2 linked regions of the Lonchura striata genome follow. The protein of the gene in region 1 binds, or shares a complex with, the protein of each later gene. Links are inferred from orthologs where the notes say so. Each region holds a gene or a part of one and is shown on either strand. Other genes may lie near its edges.

Region 1 (7,951 bases):
CCGATCGGGGACACTGACCCGGGACACCTGCATCCAGACTCCTGTATACCTCGGCACATCCTGCGGGATCCCCGCATCCAGCCCCAGGACCTCTGCACCGAACTGGGACTGCCGAGACTCCCCACATCTAACACAGCACCCGATCCAGGACCCCGCACATCCACCTCTGCACCGACCCTGCACTGATCCAAGTCCCACCGCATCCAGCCCCGCATTGATGCAAGCTCCCACCAGGAACCTCCTCATCCACCCACACACCGACCTGGGCCCCCCACGACCCTCCCCATCCGGCCCAGCACCGACCCCAAGATCCCTCTGCATCCACCCCTGTACCAACCCCAAAGCATGGGGATCCCCCACACTGACCCAGGACTCTCCCTCACCCTGCCCTACACTGACCCATGTTTACTCATTTCTATCCTCAGCACCTCCACGTCCCCATGGACTCAGGACTCCCGGGACCCCTTCATCCACCTGAAACCACTGGGACCCCTTCCCCCCCACACCAGCCCAGGATACCCTCCATTCACACCCCCCAACCTTGGACCCCCATTTCTACCCTCAGGCCCTCTCACACTAACCTGAGCCTCCCAAATGTAGCAGCCTCAGGCACAGGGCAGGAACATCACACCTTAAAGAATCACAGAATATTCCAGGCTGGAAGGGACCCCCAAAGATCATCAAAGTCCAACTTATGGCCCTGTCCAGGACAGCTACAACAGTTCAACCCTGTGCCTGAGAGCATTACTCAAATATTCCAACACGTACTGTCTATTTCATCAATGAAAAGTCTGTACTTGTGGATATTCCTAATCAACAGCTCACAAAACACAAGGCAACACTTAAAAGAAAGTAAAGCCTTATTAAGGTTCTTTGACAGGACAAATATAACCCATCCCTCACAGATCTCAGAGTACCTCCATCAGTCAGCCATGGCCCACCTTCACTACCCCTGTGCTTAAAAAGAGGCAAACAGAAGCCCCTCCCTCTCCCAAACTAGCTTAATTAGGAAATCAGCCTGTTAATTGATTACCAGAACTATAAAACTGCTCTAAGTAACACTGGCAGAAAAGGCTTGGGAACCTCAAAGGGTCTTCACAGGAGCTGAAGGTACTATTTATTGTTTTCTTATTCTTTCATTTCTTATATGCTAAGATAAGATGGTTTTAGTCTCTTAAATAATACTTTCCTTCTAGATTGACCATACAGTCCCTTTGCAGTAAATTCAGACGCTATTTATGACTGTTTAGCATGTATTCAGAGTAAAGCTGGGTTGGGAATATAGCTATCCCCTTCCCTGGCCTGCCCTAGTCTCTCAGGAAAGATCTGGAAGTCAGCTCCTGGCTGAGCTGGAGGTGAGAGTTATTGTGTACAGCACTAAAAGTAAGATGAGACCTGCCCTTCAACTTTTCCCATCCTAGCCAGAGCCTGGTTTTGGTGCCTCCTCAGAGGGATTCAATTCTAGCTGGGGTGAGTGGTCCTCTGACTGCAGGAGTGAGGCTAAAATGCTTCTATCCCCTGTACAAAGTTAAGACTAGTGATAATACAGGCTGAGGTCAAATAAATACAGCTTCAGGGAGATTCTGCTATGACCTCTGAGCTACTAACAGGCTGTAGTGGAGTTGTTTTACTCTAAAAGAGAGAGCCAGGCTGGATGCCCCTGCATGTCCTGAAACCTGCTCAAGGTCCTGCAACAGTGAGATGGGATTTTGCCAAGAGTGGTCCTGCTACTGTAAGTCTGTAAACCATTAGTGAATAGTAACAGGTTTATCCTGACAGGCTCATCCTTATCTCTCTAAGCCAGAGAGCTGCTGGATTCTGCACCATGCTGTCCACCCAGAAGCACAGCACCAGCATTGTGACCAGAAAGGAAATCCTGGAAAACGGGTTCTTGGCCAGCTCCTCCAGCCAGAGCTATTCTCCTGTTGTGAGCTATTACAAGGACTCTAGCAGTGCTTCCAAACATGAAACCTGGGAGCTTCCCATGGACTTGGACAGCACAGCAAGTGGCAGTTCCCTGTGTGTTGTCAAGCAGGCAGAGTCTCTGACCAGCTGTGTGAAGCCGGAGCTGCACAGCTTGACCCAGGGCATCTCTGACCTCAGTCTTGTCTGCTTCTGCAAGGCCCACCATGGCCAGGCCACCTGTGAGCTGTCTGGTTTGCCCTGTGAGCACCCTAGCAGAGATAGCTGCCTGATGAATGTGGGATCACAGAATACTTCGACACCTTGCAATAAAGACAAGCACTTCAAACCCCTGGAGAGCCTTCTCTTCAAGAGCTCTGAGCTGGCTGGTGACATCTCAGCCCTTGGGAAAGTGCCAGCACCCAGGTGGGACATCTCGGCAATAAAATCCTTTATGGATACCAGTACATCCCTCGATGTCAGCACAGAGGAGTTACGTTTACTGGGATGCTCCAAACCAGACACATCATCCCTGGAGACCCCTGTGGTGATTCCTCTGGCTTGGCCCAGTGCCTTCAAGAAGCACCCCACACTGATCCACAGGTCTGCCACCCAGGAGACCCAGCTGAGTGACCCTGACGCTGTCCCTGTGTTTCTGCAGCAGGCTCTGTGATGCTGCTGCCCTGCCTCCAGCTGGAGCTGCTGGTGCCTGCCCCCTCCCCTCCTGCGAGGAGCAGGGATCCACGCTGCAGCACAGAAGATGGAGCCAGCGGCTTGAGTGGTGATGGCAGCAGCTGGTGACGAGCTAAATCTGCTCACCTGGGGTGGCCGAGTCGGCACTGGTGGTGGGGGATGTTTGAGCTGGTGATGGCACCTCCGAGAGCCGCAGCATTGCTGGCTCCTCCTCCTCCCCGATCGCTCTTTTGTATTAGCACAATAAAGATATAAATGTCTCTCTGCTGGTGGTCCCTGACTCTCGCTGCCCTCCCGGCCTGAAGCTGAGCCCCCTGAACGCCCAGAGCCGGCCTCCGTGCAGCCCCCTCCGAGCTGGGGGTGCCCGGACCCCCGCCCGCCCGCCCCCGTTACCTGGCCGAGGGGTCGGGGCGGGTCCCGGCGGAGAAGGGGCAGCGGGACGCGGCCGCAGCCGCGGGGCCATGGCTGCGGGGCCGGCGCTGCCCGCCGGGAGCGCGGGCGGAGGCGCGCCCGGGGCCGCGGATCCCTCTCCTGGCGCGCCGGGAAAGCACAGCCCGGCAGCGGGGAGCGCCCCGGGCACAGCCCGCCTGCCTCATGCGGGGTGCCGCTGCTCGTCCTGGCCGCGGCAAGCCGCCACCGCGCAGGGACCATTTCCTCTGTCACATCCAAACCCTGCTCCGAGGCAAGGAAAGGAGCCTAGGCCATCGCACCCACCCCATTAGATTTTTCACGCTCTCCTGCTAGATCGCACCCCACCCATATGCAATCCTGATTTTCCTCTCCTGTCTCTGCTTACAGCAAAGAAAGGGAGGAAGAACTTGTTAAAACAGCTTTTCAGGACATTTGCTCTATAACCAGTGTACTGTTCCCCTCTTCTTTTAGGGGCATATTAGGGGATAATGAGTCATGTTGCATGAGAGGACAGAGAAAAAAAGGGAAAGCAGCAAGAGCTGCTTGAAACCAACTTTTGAAAATCACAGCAGAAATTTGATTTATATATTAACTCCCTCACTAGCTACCTGCCCAACGTGTTCCCCCTGGCCTCACCTCACCTCTTGAAAGCACTCACCTACTTCTACTCCTTGGAAATTCTGTCAGTCAGCCATAAAATTTATATGCATCATACTCTCATGACTAAAGTGTTTCTAGTAACAAAGTCAGTTTAAATACTTCCAGAGGGCCAAAGGGACAGCTTTGAAAGAGAGATGTGAGCTACATGTATTCCACACTAGTAAGAAAAACATCCATTCAGTAAAAAAATGTGTTCTTCAGCTGTCAGAGGCCTGAGAGACACCCAGAAAACAGGGAGCTGCTTGTATCCCCGGGCTGCTCACATGGCTTTTTTTAAACCATGTTACATCAGAAACAGGTGACAAAACAACTTGGAAACAGAAAGTTATTTACAGTTTGAAGTATAAACACCCCAGAAGAGTACAAACTGGAGCTATAATTAGCAACAGGAGCACTCAGGGGGTTGGTTCAGCTGCACCCTGTGCTGGCTGACTGATTGCTATTGCTACTGCACAGGAGAAGAGATTAAGGTTGTTGTGTAAATCTGGAGCTGGAATGTACAAAGTGCTCTGGGTGACAAACACAACCACGGCCTTAAAGGAAAACAGAAGAAGAAATGAAAAATTTCCAACATGCTGCTGTGAAAGGGAACGGCTGCAGTGGAGAAAGAGATACAACCACTTCTGCTAACATTAGCACATCTCAACTGGGCAGGAACTTGGCAGGGGCTTTGGGGCACCTCCTTTAGAAAAACCTGTGCCAAAATGCTATGTGAAGCATGAAATGTAAAACAAAAAGGTATTTTGGAGGGATAAAAAGATGAACAGGTTTTTTTGCAAAAAGCAGTTCTGATTTTAAAAACCATGGCAGAGCAAGGTAAAACACAGAAGTCATTGAAGTCCTGAGTGGGGGAAGAATTTAACAATCTGAGTGTCAGTCTGACAGCCAAAAAAGGCTTTATAATGCAATTTCACCACATTAACATAAAAACAAGTCCTTGCAATAGAGGTGTGGTGGTGATGATGTTGACAAAAATCTTTTCTTCTCACCACTGATCTCCTTGGCTCTATTTTTGCTGTGCATTGAGCTTCAACATTTCACGGAAAATTAATTTAACCTGGATTTCCACTCCTGCGTATTACTGAACTCACTACCTCAGGGAGTGGACTAGATATCAAATAAATGGAAGTAAAAATATCCATTAATTTCTGTGCAGTATCAGTGTCTTAATAATGATCCACTCAATCTTAAGGTTTGCATCCATGTGCTGTCCTCTCTTTTTAAAATTCTGTAATTCCAGTCTGATATGAGGCAGCAATCTGCAACAATGTCATTATTGCTTAATTTCAAATCTGCCCCTCCCTTGGAAGAAATGTTTTCTTTCTACAGTAACAAACTCACCTCTCCTTAGTTCTCTTTGGCAGAGAGACAAAATGAGGCTGCCTCAGGGTGATACATGTATTTTCAGCAGCTCCTGCTAAAATTATGGCTCTATTTTTTTGTCCTAAGTTAACAAACCAAAATAACAACCCTTCTCACAGTGCAATTAAGGATTTCATGTACAACAGGAGAACCAACAGGTAAGGCAGACTTAACTACAAGAAAATAAATGCTGGAGCCAGAAAGGACCCAAAACACATTTTCTTGGTATATTATTTTTTTAATATATTAAAAAATTACAGTTTCAATAAAGAAGTAGAAAAATAAGAAATTCTTTGGAAAGTGCTTGTGAAATACAAGCAGTTCCCCAGAAGGCATTAATTATCTGAACTACTACACATAAATGATCCAAGCATCCAGTGAACTACTGAGACAGTCCCAATCAATACACTGAGAAGAGAGACTTTAAAAATGGAAAAATATACTTTCCCTAAAAGGTCTATCTCAAACTGGGGAAAGCCAGCTCTCAGGTACTGTTCTGGAATCCAGCTTCACTTTGGTCAGTATCGTGTTCCTTAAGTAAGGGAAGAGGAAGGAAAAAAAAGGAAGAAAAAAGAGTTTTAACAACAGGGTAGAACTGTAAGATTTTTGGCTTAACTAGATTATGTGAAACAGACAATTCTTGTTAGCACAAACTGTTGCTCTGCCAATATGCTCCAAACACACTTTGAAACGTTAAATTTGCTATGAAGAATTCTTTCAGCACAGCTGCATTTCAGTGCAGCTCCTGAAGAACAATGCTGGTCACCTCTGCACAGCAGCACTGGCCAGAGCAGTGAACACTCCTGAGGGCTCCCTGCTCTCACTCAGGCACCACTAATGAACCAGATTTAGCTGCAATTACAAACTACACTTGCATGTACTAATTCCCCAATTAAAATAAATGAGAGACTTAATAAATTGAGCAGTACACATTTTATGGAGATTAAGAGTCATAAGTACTCTGGATCACACTTGACTGGTCTCATTTATAGCACAGCTAATGTCTCACATCACCTCTTGCCTGTGACAACTGTAACTGCTACAATGATACACCACCCTTACTGCTGCTACTACCAACTACTCACTTGTAATTGCTATTAAAAATACCTGATTCAGTTTCTTAAACTCAACCACTTGGAAGAAGATGTGCTCCAGGATATATTTGGCATCTTGCCTGTCCTTTGGGAGTTCACTGGTCACTCCCAGGATATCACCACATTTCCGCACGTAGAACTCCAGGTCATCATCAGTGCCTAAACAAGCACCCAGGGAAGAAGGCAGGTGAGTCTCACACATCTGGAGCAGCTGGCCAGAAACCTGCTCTGAATCTCCTTTTGCTGCTGGCATCCTGGGAGGCTCAGTCCCATCACTAAGCTCAGTGGACTAGCCATAACGTATTCCTGCAGCCAGTACCTGCTCATCTTCTTTAGGTGTTTATAATAATCTTAACATTTTAACTTAAAAGCATAAACAAGATGTGAAATTTATCAGCAAGAGTGCACAAAGCAATGCACAATATAGGAAACGGGAAGAAACACGATAAAATGTCATGCAACAGACAAAACATAATGTCATGGTACATAAAGTCATGCTATTAATTTCCAAAGCCTTTCAATTTCTTAGATCAGGATAAGAGCAGTAGATTTCCCAAATGAGGTGCATGCTTTAACATTCAATATTAGAAATTTCCTCTAAAAAAACTGGACTTTTATTTTAAACGTGCAAACAATCTTCTCCACTTACATTTGTTTGTAATCTCTGCAAGACGTGCTTTCTCTGAGGAAAAAGTTTCATCCAAGTCAAACAGTTCCAGAGCAGGAGGAGGCAATTCTTTGAAAGCAGGTGGAAAGACCTTGGAAAGAAAACGCAGCATGGTTGACTGCCACACATTTTTCTTTACAGATCTCTAAGACAACAGTTTTGAACTTATATTGGACTTGAAGAAGCCCTTTTAAAAAGTCAAAAGCAACTCCAAAGCCACTGAACCAAGGGGCAGCATTTGAAAATTCCATTTTTATGCTGTAAAAATAACTGAACATTCCAAAAGAATTTAGTCACATGTATGCCAGAATTATCACCCAGCATAACAACTAGACATTCTTATTTGCAGTTTCAGTTTTGCTCCATGAGACCCAGGTGATAGCTGAGAGCTGAGGAACTAAATTGGCCCTAATAGCTCACCCTGAAAACATACTGACATCAATTTTGGTCAGAGTATTTTCTGTTTCATGCAGGCACCATTTATGTCACAAGCTGGACTTGGGTTTTTAAAAAGCAGTGAAGGAGACACCACTTTCAGTTGCACTCCTGAAGCTCTAAAGGATATCAGAAATGCTTTCTCAGTGGCCAGGGTAAAGAAGGATGGAACAATGATGGCAAAACTCAGATACCAAGATTCTTGCCTTCTGAAATGAGTTTGACACCCTCATAGTTTGTGTTGTTGCTGTCTGCCCAAACATTGCTGGTTAAAGTTTGATCAGCTTCTGATGTAAAAGACCAATGTTCTGCTTTCTGCTTCCCCTGAGGATCTGGGAGATGGAGGCAGAGCAGGACAGACTGGCTCCTCCCTGGCACAAGCAGTGCAGTACCTTCACCACCACAGCTTTCTGAAATAGCACATCCTGTTTTCATTGGGAAGGCTGAGCCAGCACCTCACAGGACTGGGAGCAGCCACTCAATCAAAGGTTCACCACACAAGGATTCTGTTTTGGTACCACACACTACAGTGTGAAGTTCTTTTAATAAATTTGAAATGTAAATTAGTGCTCTTTCCTAAAAGACGGTCCCTAAAGTGTAGTCAACTCCCAAGTGATTAGTTATTACTACAGCATTTCTCACTGCTTCTTTTACAGAACCATGGAAATGACACACAGAGGTTTGGCATGAAACAAATGAAATAGAGACTCATTAAGGTTGGAATATA
Region 2 (8,016 bases), on another chromosome or scaffold:
AGAAATGCATGTAAACTTAGGCACCATTTCATGCTGTCAGCATGAAGCCTCTCACCGTTTTATATGGACAGAATAGCAGCTTTAGAGAAGAACAGAATAGTAACTTTAGCAGATAAAACAAGTACATATCATGAGAGACAACTGGGTGCATTACATTCATCTCACTCCTGGGTTATGGAACAGTCACTGCCCAGCTGCATTACAGAACCTGCCAGAGGGCAAGAAGGTGCTATTAGAATACTCTGGGACAAACTCCACTTCATCAGACATCCAATCTGAAAGTAAAACTGTGTGGTTCTTACCATACAGCAAAATGTCAGTTTTCTTGTCATCAAGTATGCTGTGTTTACTGGTAATTATTTTTATGTGAAAGCTCAGTAGTGGTCTACTATTTTACTATAAACTATTTTGGAGAAAATTCACAGGGGTGATGCATAAATCTCAAAGGCTCTTAGTAATGAACTATTCAGAATTTTTTTGGAACTTTTTTTTATACCATAGGAATATTCCAAAAACAACTTTGCAATACTTACTGTTATAATCCTTGATATATTATGCTGCAGACTGAGAGCTGCATGAAGTCAGTGCTAAATTAGCCAGGACTAAGTTTACATCTTCATTTTAAGTATAGGACTGGAAATGAAAGAACTATGTGTGGCAGTAACTAGTGTGATTTGAAAACATGCAGATCACCAATACTGGATAGCATAGGAATGGAAGCACAAGGCAACCACTCCTTGAAACTTTCACAATTCCAGCAGTTCAGCAGTGCTACAGAAAACATGAAGCTCCCTGTCTGATGGAAAACACCCCTAGCTTGCACCAAATGTAGGTAAATACAAACCTTAAGGTCAAAGTCAGCACAGCAGAAGTTTACTGCCTTTACAAATAACCACACAGTGTCTGCTTCACCTGCCAAGCAGAGCCTGTAACACTGACACAGCTGGCAAGGGTTGCCAGCATCGCCCAATCCTAAGGGAAACGGAGTCACACACTCTACTATGGTATCTGCTACAGGTGAAGTGACAGATCTGTCAAACCTTCCTGATGCCACTGCAGGCAATATAAAAATGACAGAGAAGAAAAAGTTATTTTTCATCATTACACTGACTTCTTGAAACATATCATGCTTTCTCTGGAAAATGGGCAAGGCAAATGGAGGAACGGTAACTTAAACATTGCCCATTCTAGTGAACAGGGAAAGTTCATTTAATAAGCAATAAACCACAGCTAATTATTAATTACAGTCGTATCAAGTGGCCCATGACTTGTATTAATCAGTCTCTAAATGGAGCACAGCATCCATGACTGAGCTGCGCTAAGTTGAGAATGTCAGCTCTGTCCATAATTTATGATGATCCTCCATAAATCTGTTCAGTTAACACAATGACACCGGCCATGTGGGCACATTAACCAATTTTTTTCCTGACAGTTGTTGGAGCTGTAACAAAGACTCGCATGGAGCAGCCAGAAGCAAGATTTCCACTCTGAGTCACTTCTCTCTGAGAATCTTTGGATGTGGAAGGACTTGGTAGCTTGATGAACTTGTGTGGTGTCACCAGAAGATGTCTGCCCTGTTCTGTGCACACCTATTGAAACTAGTAAATGCCCTAGTTTTAGCTTGGCAGTCCACAGTTTGTAAGAGATGTCATCTAGATGCATTTTATATGGAATAATTTCCTTTTCTGTAACACTCAAGTACTTTGTGCATGAATCCACACATACAGCAACATATATCTGGTTTTTAGCTACACTATGTTTTTATTAAATCCTTGCACTCTTTGAAAACAACATCCACACAAACCCTATGGAGATCACAGAATCAATGAGGTTAAAAAAGACCTCTGAGACCATGGAGTCCAGCTTTTAACCAAACACCATCATGTCAACTATACCACTGCACAAAATGCCACATCCAGTCTTTCCTTAAACACCTCCAGGGACAGTGACTCCACCACCTCCCTGGGCAGCCCATTCCAATGTCCAATCACCCTTTCACTGAAGAAATTCCTCCTAATGTTCAATCTAAACTTCCTCTGCTGAAGCTTGAGATTATGCCCTCTCGTTTGTTGCCTGGGACAAGAGGCCAATCCCCATCCAGCTACACTCTCCTTTCAGGAACTGTAGAGTGTGGTAAGGTCACTCCTGAGCCTCCTGTTCTCCAGGCTAAACACCCACAGCTCTCTCAGCTGCTCCTCATCAGACTCATGCTCCAGACCCTTCCCCAGGCTCCACTCCCCTTCTCTGGACTCTCTCCAGCACCTCCGTGTCCTTCTAGCAGTGAGGGGCCCCGAGCTGGACACAGCACTCGAGGTGCAGACATACAGAACTGTAGGCACGAAAACACATGTTTACATTCTGTCTTCCTGTACAGCCAGGTTCCTGCTGCTGACACACAACACAAGGTCTCTGAGCTGTTCCCTGCGCATTCACCAGTGCCCCCTAGACACAGTGTGTGCACGCCCTGACCCCCAGCCCTGCGGAGCTGCTCGCACCGTGCGCGGCACGGGCTACGAATACACGAGCCCTTCCTGCCCCCATGGGCGACAGCCAGGTCCGGAGCGCCGGGCAGCTCACGCTCCCCCGGGACAGGACGCTGCTTCCCCCGCACTGCCCCGACCCCCGCGGGCAGGGCGGGCTGTCACTGCGCCCCGCCCGGCTCCCGCTTCCCGCCCCGCCTGCCCGGCAGGTGCCGCCCGGGCGGGGCGGGGGCCCGGCCCCGGCACCCCCGAGGGCAGCGGGGGTCGCACCCTCGGCACGGAGCTCCCCGCCCGCCGCTCGGGCCGGGACCGCGCCCGGGAGGGGCGGCGGCGGGGGGGGGGGGGCCGGCCCGGCCCGGTTGCCAGGGAGGAGGCTCGGGCTCCGGCCCCGCACAGCGCCCGCGGCGGGAGGGAGGGAGCGAAGAAGGGAGGCGGGCGGGCGGCGGGGCGCGGCGCGGGTGTCCCGCCGGGACGAGGGGGCGGCGGGAGCGGGGGCGCCGGTCCCTACTCACTCTCGTCAGGCAGCTGATCCAGCTCCGCCATCTTGAACGAGCCGCGCCGCTTTTTCAAAGGCTGCCTGGCGCGGGGCATTCTGGGGGAGGAGACGGGGCCGGGCGCGCGGCGGGCGCGCGCGCGGGGCGGGGCCTGCGCCCGCGCGGGGCCGGGCGGCGGGGCCCGCGCGCCGCTCCCGGCAGCCGCGGCTCGGCAGCGCGGGAGGGAGCGCCGCCGGCCCGGGGCCCGCTAAGGACTCGGAGCGGACCTCACACTACTTCCAGTCGAGTTCCAGCTCCCTGCCACCGGCTCCCACTAGACCAGGTTGCTCAGAGCCCCATCCGAACTGGCTTTGAACGCCTCCAGGGCTGGGCTAGCCAGAGCTGCTCTGGGTAACCTGTTCCAGTACCTCACTGGAAAGACTTTTTTCCTAATACCTAATTTTCCCCTCTTTCAGTTGGTACCCATTACTCATGGTCCTGTCGCTACTGCAGCTCCTGACAGTCCCTGTCTGGCTTCCTTCAGATACTGGAAGGTCGCCATGAGGTCTTCACACAAACTTCTCCACGCCTGAAGAGCCCCAGCTTTCTCATCCTGTTGTCATAGGGTAGGTGCTCCAGTCCTCTTATCACCACCATGCTTCTCTAAATTTGCTGCAGCAGTTCCCTGTCGATTCTTACGATGCGGGATGGGGGGGAATGTGTGATTGGCAGTTCAGGATGGGAGGAAAGGGGTGGAGGTGTTGGCTGTCACAAAGGATCACCCCGAAGTAGCTGTGCTAGCTTTGAGTCTTTAAACAATCCCATTACATTATACCCATCCTCCTTCACTGAGTAATAACTTTTTGCTAAACTCTGCCAGTTTTCCTTGTTGCTTTTCATAAGTGACTGCTGAGGTGAGGCTCCAGGAGTCCGGGATCACAACAATCCCGGCCCAGCCAGCCCTGGCCCTGCTGTCACAGCCTGTGGCACCTCGCCCAAGAGGCGGCTGAAATGCTCACCGAGCCCAAGGCCTGAAGGTCAAGGTCTCACTTGTTCTCACCCGGTGCCAGGGAAAGCCAACAAACCACAGAAGTGGGTGGCTGTTGCCTAACAAGCTCCTTGTCTTGGCCTGCCCTCTACCATCACACCCCTGAAAGCTTTCTTCAAGCAGCAGCAGTGGGTTTTTTTGGTGTAGTTTTCTCAGATCTCTGCACTACAGTGAATTCTAAAGTATCAATAAATATAAGCATGGAAATACCATCATGAACCACAAGCACCTTAATTGCTCATGGACCACACTCTCCACATAGTTTGGCTTTGATAACACTATTATACCAACCAAAATTCCTTTTTTTAAGGTATAAAAATAAATGTAAAAATGCAAATTGAGCCTCAAAATAAATAAACAGTATATCTTAGTAAAGGCTAAATCTGTGTCACATGTTAAACATATTGCCAAGAGCACAGTGGTATAATACAAAATGGATGCTATGCCTCATTGTATGCAGGTCTTTGAAAGCACCTAGGTGAAACCAAAGATTCTACACAATACAGAAAATGTCTATCTTGTGACATGGAATAGAGTTTGTGTTCTTAATTTGCTAATGAACTCAGATGACTAGGCACTCTAGCAGGTTGACAGGGGCAGGATATAGGTCATGTTATTAAACAATTTTAACACATAAATAAATAAAATCAATGTTGCCCTTGTGCTCAAGGGGGAAAAAGCCAGTTTTTAAGTGAAGAAACAAACTGAGTGAAATGCTTTAGAAATTCCCCCCAGGGCTTTCTATGCACATTGTAGCAGAGCTAAAAAAAGAAAAAAAAAAAGAGGAAAAAAATTACAAAGCCTAGCTTGCATTTCCAGCCCCTTTTTCAGATCATTTTGAAAGGTTGTTTAAACAGCTTTCCCTCCCCTTAGCCCCCAAAGGGTCTAAGACACCTCACTTGGAGCTTTCCATACTGTACAGCTCCAAAGAAAGCTGCTACCGTAGACACTTGAAAAGAACAACACTAAAGAAACTAGTAACAAAACATGACTAAATAGTAATCTGTGCTACATCAAACACCAACTCCCCCAAGCATTAAATTCTGCACAATTTTCCCCTTTTAATAAAACAGTTCCACCACCCAGAACGCCTGACATGGACCAAACCTTCCAGGCTCAGTTAAACAACATGTTAATGACACCAATATTTCTCTGTACTTCAGCTGTGCTCCCCTTGTTCCAAGGGCTGTATGGTAATGCTCAGCTCAGACTGGCGACACTGAGACTTCCACAGCTGACAGAGACACTGATCATCAGCAAGGTTTTTACTGCTGTGCTTTGTGAACCTTGTCATCAGGTGTGGCTGCCAGCGTTGCCCAGAGCCATCCCAATGCTGGAGCTTTCCCTGAGCAAGGGCTTTGCTTGGGAGGGGTGAAAAGTATTTTACAACACAATCACATTTTGCAACAGTCCTCAAGAGTATGAATTTCTACAAGGGGAAAATGAAAAAGGAATCAAGCTCAGTGTCTTTCAGGGAGTCTTTGTAGACTGCAACAAAACCAGATGAAAAAGGTGAGATTTTTCCCTCTCACCAAACATCTCCTGCCAATCATTTCACAAATTAACAGGTGTGAAGATAGACTTCCGCTCCCAACAGCACAATGATGATTATTCCTTCATTTCATTCCAACAGCTGCACTTGGAAAATATTTAACAGAAACCATTACCATTCACTATTTTGAAAGGGTAACAATCAACACTGTATTTTTATTCCTGGATAAATAACCTTTTACATCTTGGCCTTTATTGGATGCTGTATCTCTGTGTTCTGGTTTTTCGTGTCTCCTGTGTTTGCCGTTTCCAAGTCACATAGATGCGACCCCATTTACAAAGCCCCAGCCAGGGCCATTGGTCAGTGTGCACACCAACACACATTTTCAGTGCATCCTTTTACCATTCTGGCAAACATGCAGTTTGCACTTGGGTGACGTGGAAATGACACAACTCTTCTGACAGGCAGGGTGACTGAAAACATCTGTGCTCTCTGCCAACAATCTGCCTTAGGTGCTGCTGACTCACCTGCGTGGCACAGCTGCAGGGAGGTCTCTAAATGGCTGCACTGCTGCCATTCGCTCTTGCCAGGGTCACATTAGGCAACTGCTCCTAATGGTGTGTGCTGAAATGCTGCAGAGAGCACTGCCACACTCCCATTACTCCTCAGTTGCTACAGATGATAGTAAGACATGGGTTACAGCACCTACTGACCAATGCATTCAGAGTCCTGTCAGTACAGAGCAGGTAGTGCTGCATCCAGGGGACAGCTATGCTGCCATTTTCTCATCTCCCCTAGGCAGGCCCTGGCAGTAGGAAAAAAAGCAAGGACAGCTGGCAGAAGAGAGTGCTCTTTAGTCACTGAAGCATCTTCTTGTGAAGTTTTGAGTCCTGCTGCATTAATTACATTATGAAATTAGACTCTAATGAGAGGGTGTAGTAGTTTTCCCTTTGAAGCAGTAGTTTCTCCTTTGAGTTGTTAGGAAGTCATTCTTCTCATCTTGCCTGTCCCTGTGTATCTCACTTCTGTGGAAGTGATCTGAAATGCCCACAACAGACCCACATGCTACCTTCACACCAGAACAAATTAAAATCATCACAGCAACTCATCTTGGCTGGGACCTGCACCTGCATTTTCTTCTCACAGGTGCCACTTCATCTCCAAAATGACCATTTCTGGAGAAGAGCCTGGCATTAATTTTAAAGTGAAAGCACACACAAACTCTTGTTCAGATGCATGTACTCCACAACAGTGGCAACTATTTTTATGGGCATAACAGGAGCATAAGTATAATGGAATAAATCAGGGGCCTCAACACATACATAAAAGCAATTCAGGCAAAACACTAAGTGGGCTATAAATTGGCTGCAATAGCACTTCAGCAGACAATTACATCATTATGTCCCCAGAATTCACAGTGAGGTCTGTAACCATCCCCCTGAAAACAAGCTGAAGCAGAGACCTCAGTCATTACAAACACTGCAGGCCTCATTTAAGAACAGGAGTACAATTATTTATGGCATTGACAAGTTTCACGTGCCCAGAGGTCTTTTTCATATAGAAATTATTTGTTTGGAAGTTTCCCCCTGCACTTTCTGCTGATTAGAAACTGAAGAAGGGCAGGGGCAGAATGTCATTGTTTTATGGCAAAAATACCAGGATGGGCAACTTGTGCTTTAATTTTTTTTTCTCAGGTATTTTTTCCCTGCATGAACTCGGGCAAGTCACAAAGAATTTACACTGACTGCTAATCAGTAAGCCTAGGCTGGCTTCCTTCAATTAACTGCATAGACTATCTTAATGTCTGTGAGCCGTTGTACAACAGAGCCTGCCACAATGCCAAATAAAGACAACACAGTTAAATATTTATAAATTACTGCTTTTGGTAGTTTAACATTTAGATGAGAAGCCATTCCTCAACATGTTTCCCCTGAAAAAAGCACAGGATGTCATGGGACCTAATGTCTTGAAAAGTCGTTCCTTTCAAGTGCTTTTGACAGAAATGGGGCTGCCTATTCACGCAGCTCTGCTCTGTGCTCGCACTGCCAAAGCAATGCTTTCAGTGAGTGGCACATGCTGCTCCTCCCAGCCTGGCCCCGGGGAGAGGCCTCTCATCCACCTCCAGGAGAGTGGATCCGCTCTGCTCGGACAGCTGGCAGCACAAGCAGCACTTGGGCTGACATCAGATTTCACTGCAGGACAGTGACAGGGCTCTCCTACAGTCCCCAAAGGGTACCTGCTACCTCTTTAGAAAGTCCTGTACTCTTCCTGCTGTATTTGTGAGGTTAGGGACAGTTTGTGATGCACTTGCTTGTGCTGCAATTACAACTGAGCACTATATACACAGCACGAAGTACTCCTTGTGCTGCTTGGGTTGGAACAACAGGGAACTTTCAGCTATCTCTAGTATGGGTGACAGAGAGAGCAGCTGCCTTCAACTCCTGGTCCCAAACTGAACTGTAAACTGCTTATTTAGAGGGTGAAAAATCATCTATCTTCTAACTAAACAAGTTCTCATGTTCT

What was found. The genes of interacting proteins can lie anywhere in the genome.
Region 2: the proteins of MYBL2 (region 1) and LIN9 are in contact, whole or in part, in a crystal structure (PDB 6C48), measured with the Homo sapiens proteins. The link is inferred for Lonchura striata from reciprocal best matches to the Homo sapiens genes MYBL2 and LIN9. Residues at the interface, in NP_002457.1 of Homo sapiens: Trp663, Ala667, Cys668, Gly669, Gln674, Met677, Gln678, Ala681, Arg682, Leu684, Leu685, Arg687; in NP_001353174.1 of Homo sapiens: Lys356, Gln385, Arg386, Tyr388, Ala389, Thr390, Val392, Leu393, Leu395, Glu396, Asn399, Leu402, Asn403, Leu406.

What each region holds. Positions count from the first base shown.
Region 1 is NC_134619.1:11,069,662-11,077,612, reverse strand, and holds the start of MYBL2 (myb-related protein B), read right to left. Parts: upstream 3,096-7,951; 5' UTR 2,989-3,095; intron 2,576-2,988; coding exon of another isoform or gene 1,826-2,575; intron 1-1,825. Other genes in the region: uncharacterized protein LOC144247204, read left to right, coding at 1,826-2,575; IFT52 (intraflagellar transport protein 52 homolog), read right to left, coding at 5,513-5,560, 6,136-6,281, 6,772-6,880. UniProt on the Homo sapiens protein: Transcription factor involved in the regulation of cell survival, proliferation, and differentiation. Transactivates the expression of the CLU gene.
Region 2 is NC_134605.1:17,659,973-17,667,988, forward strand, and holds the start of LIN9 (protein lin-9 homolog), read right to left. Parts: upstream 3,072-8,016; coding exon 2,993-3,071; intron 1-2,992. UniProt on the Homo sapiens protein: Acts as a tumor suppressor. Inhibits DNA synthesis. Its ability to inhibit oncogenic transformation is mediated through its association with RB1. Plays a role in the expression of genes required for the G1/S transition.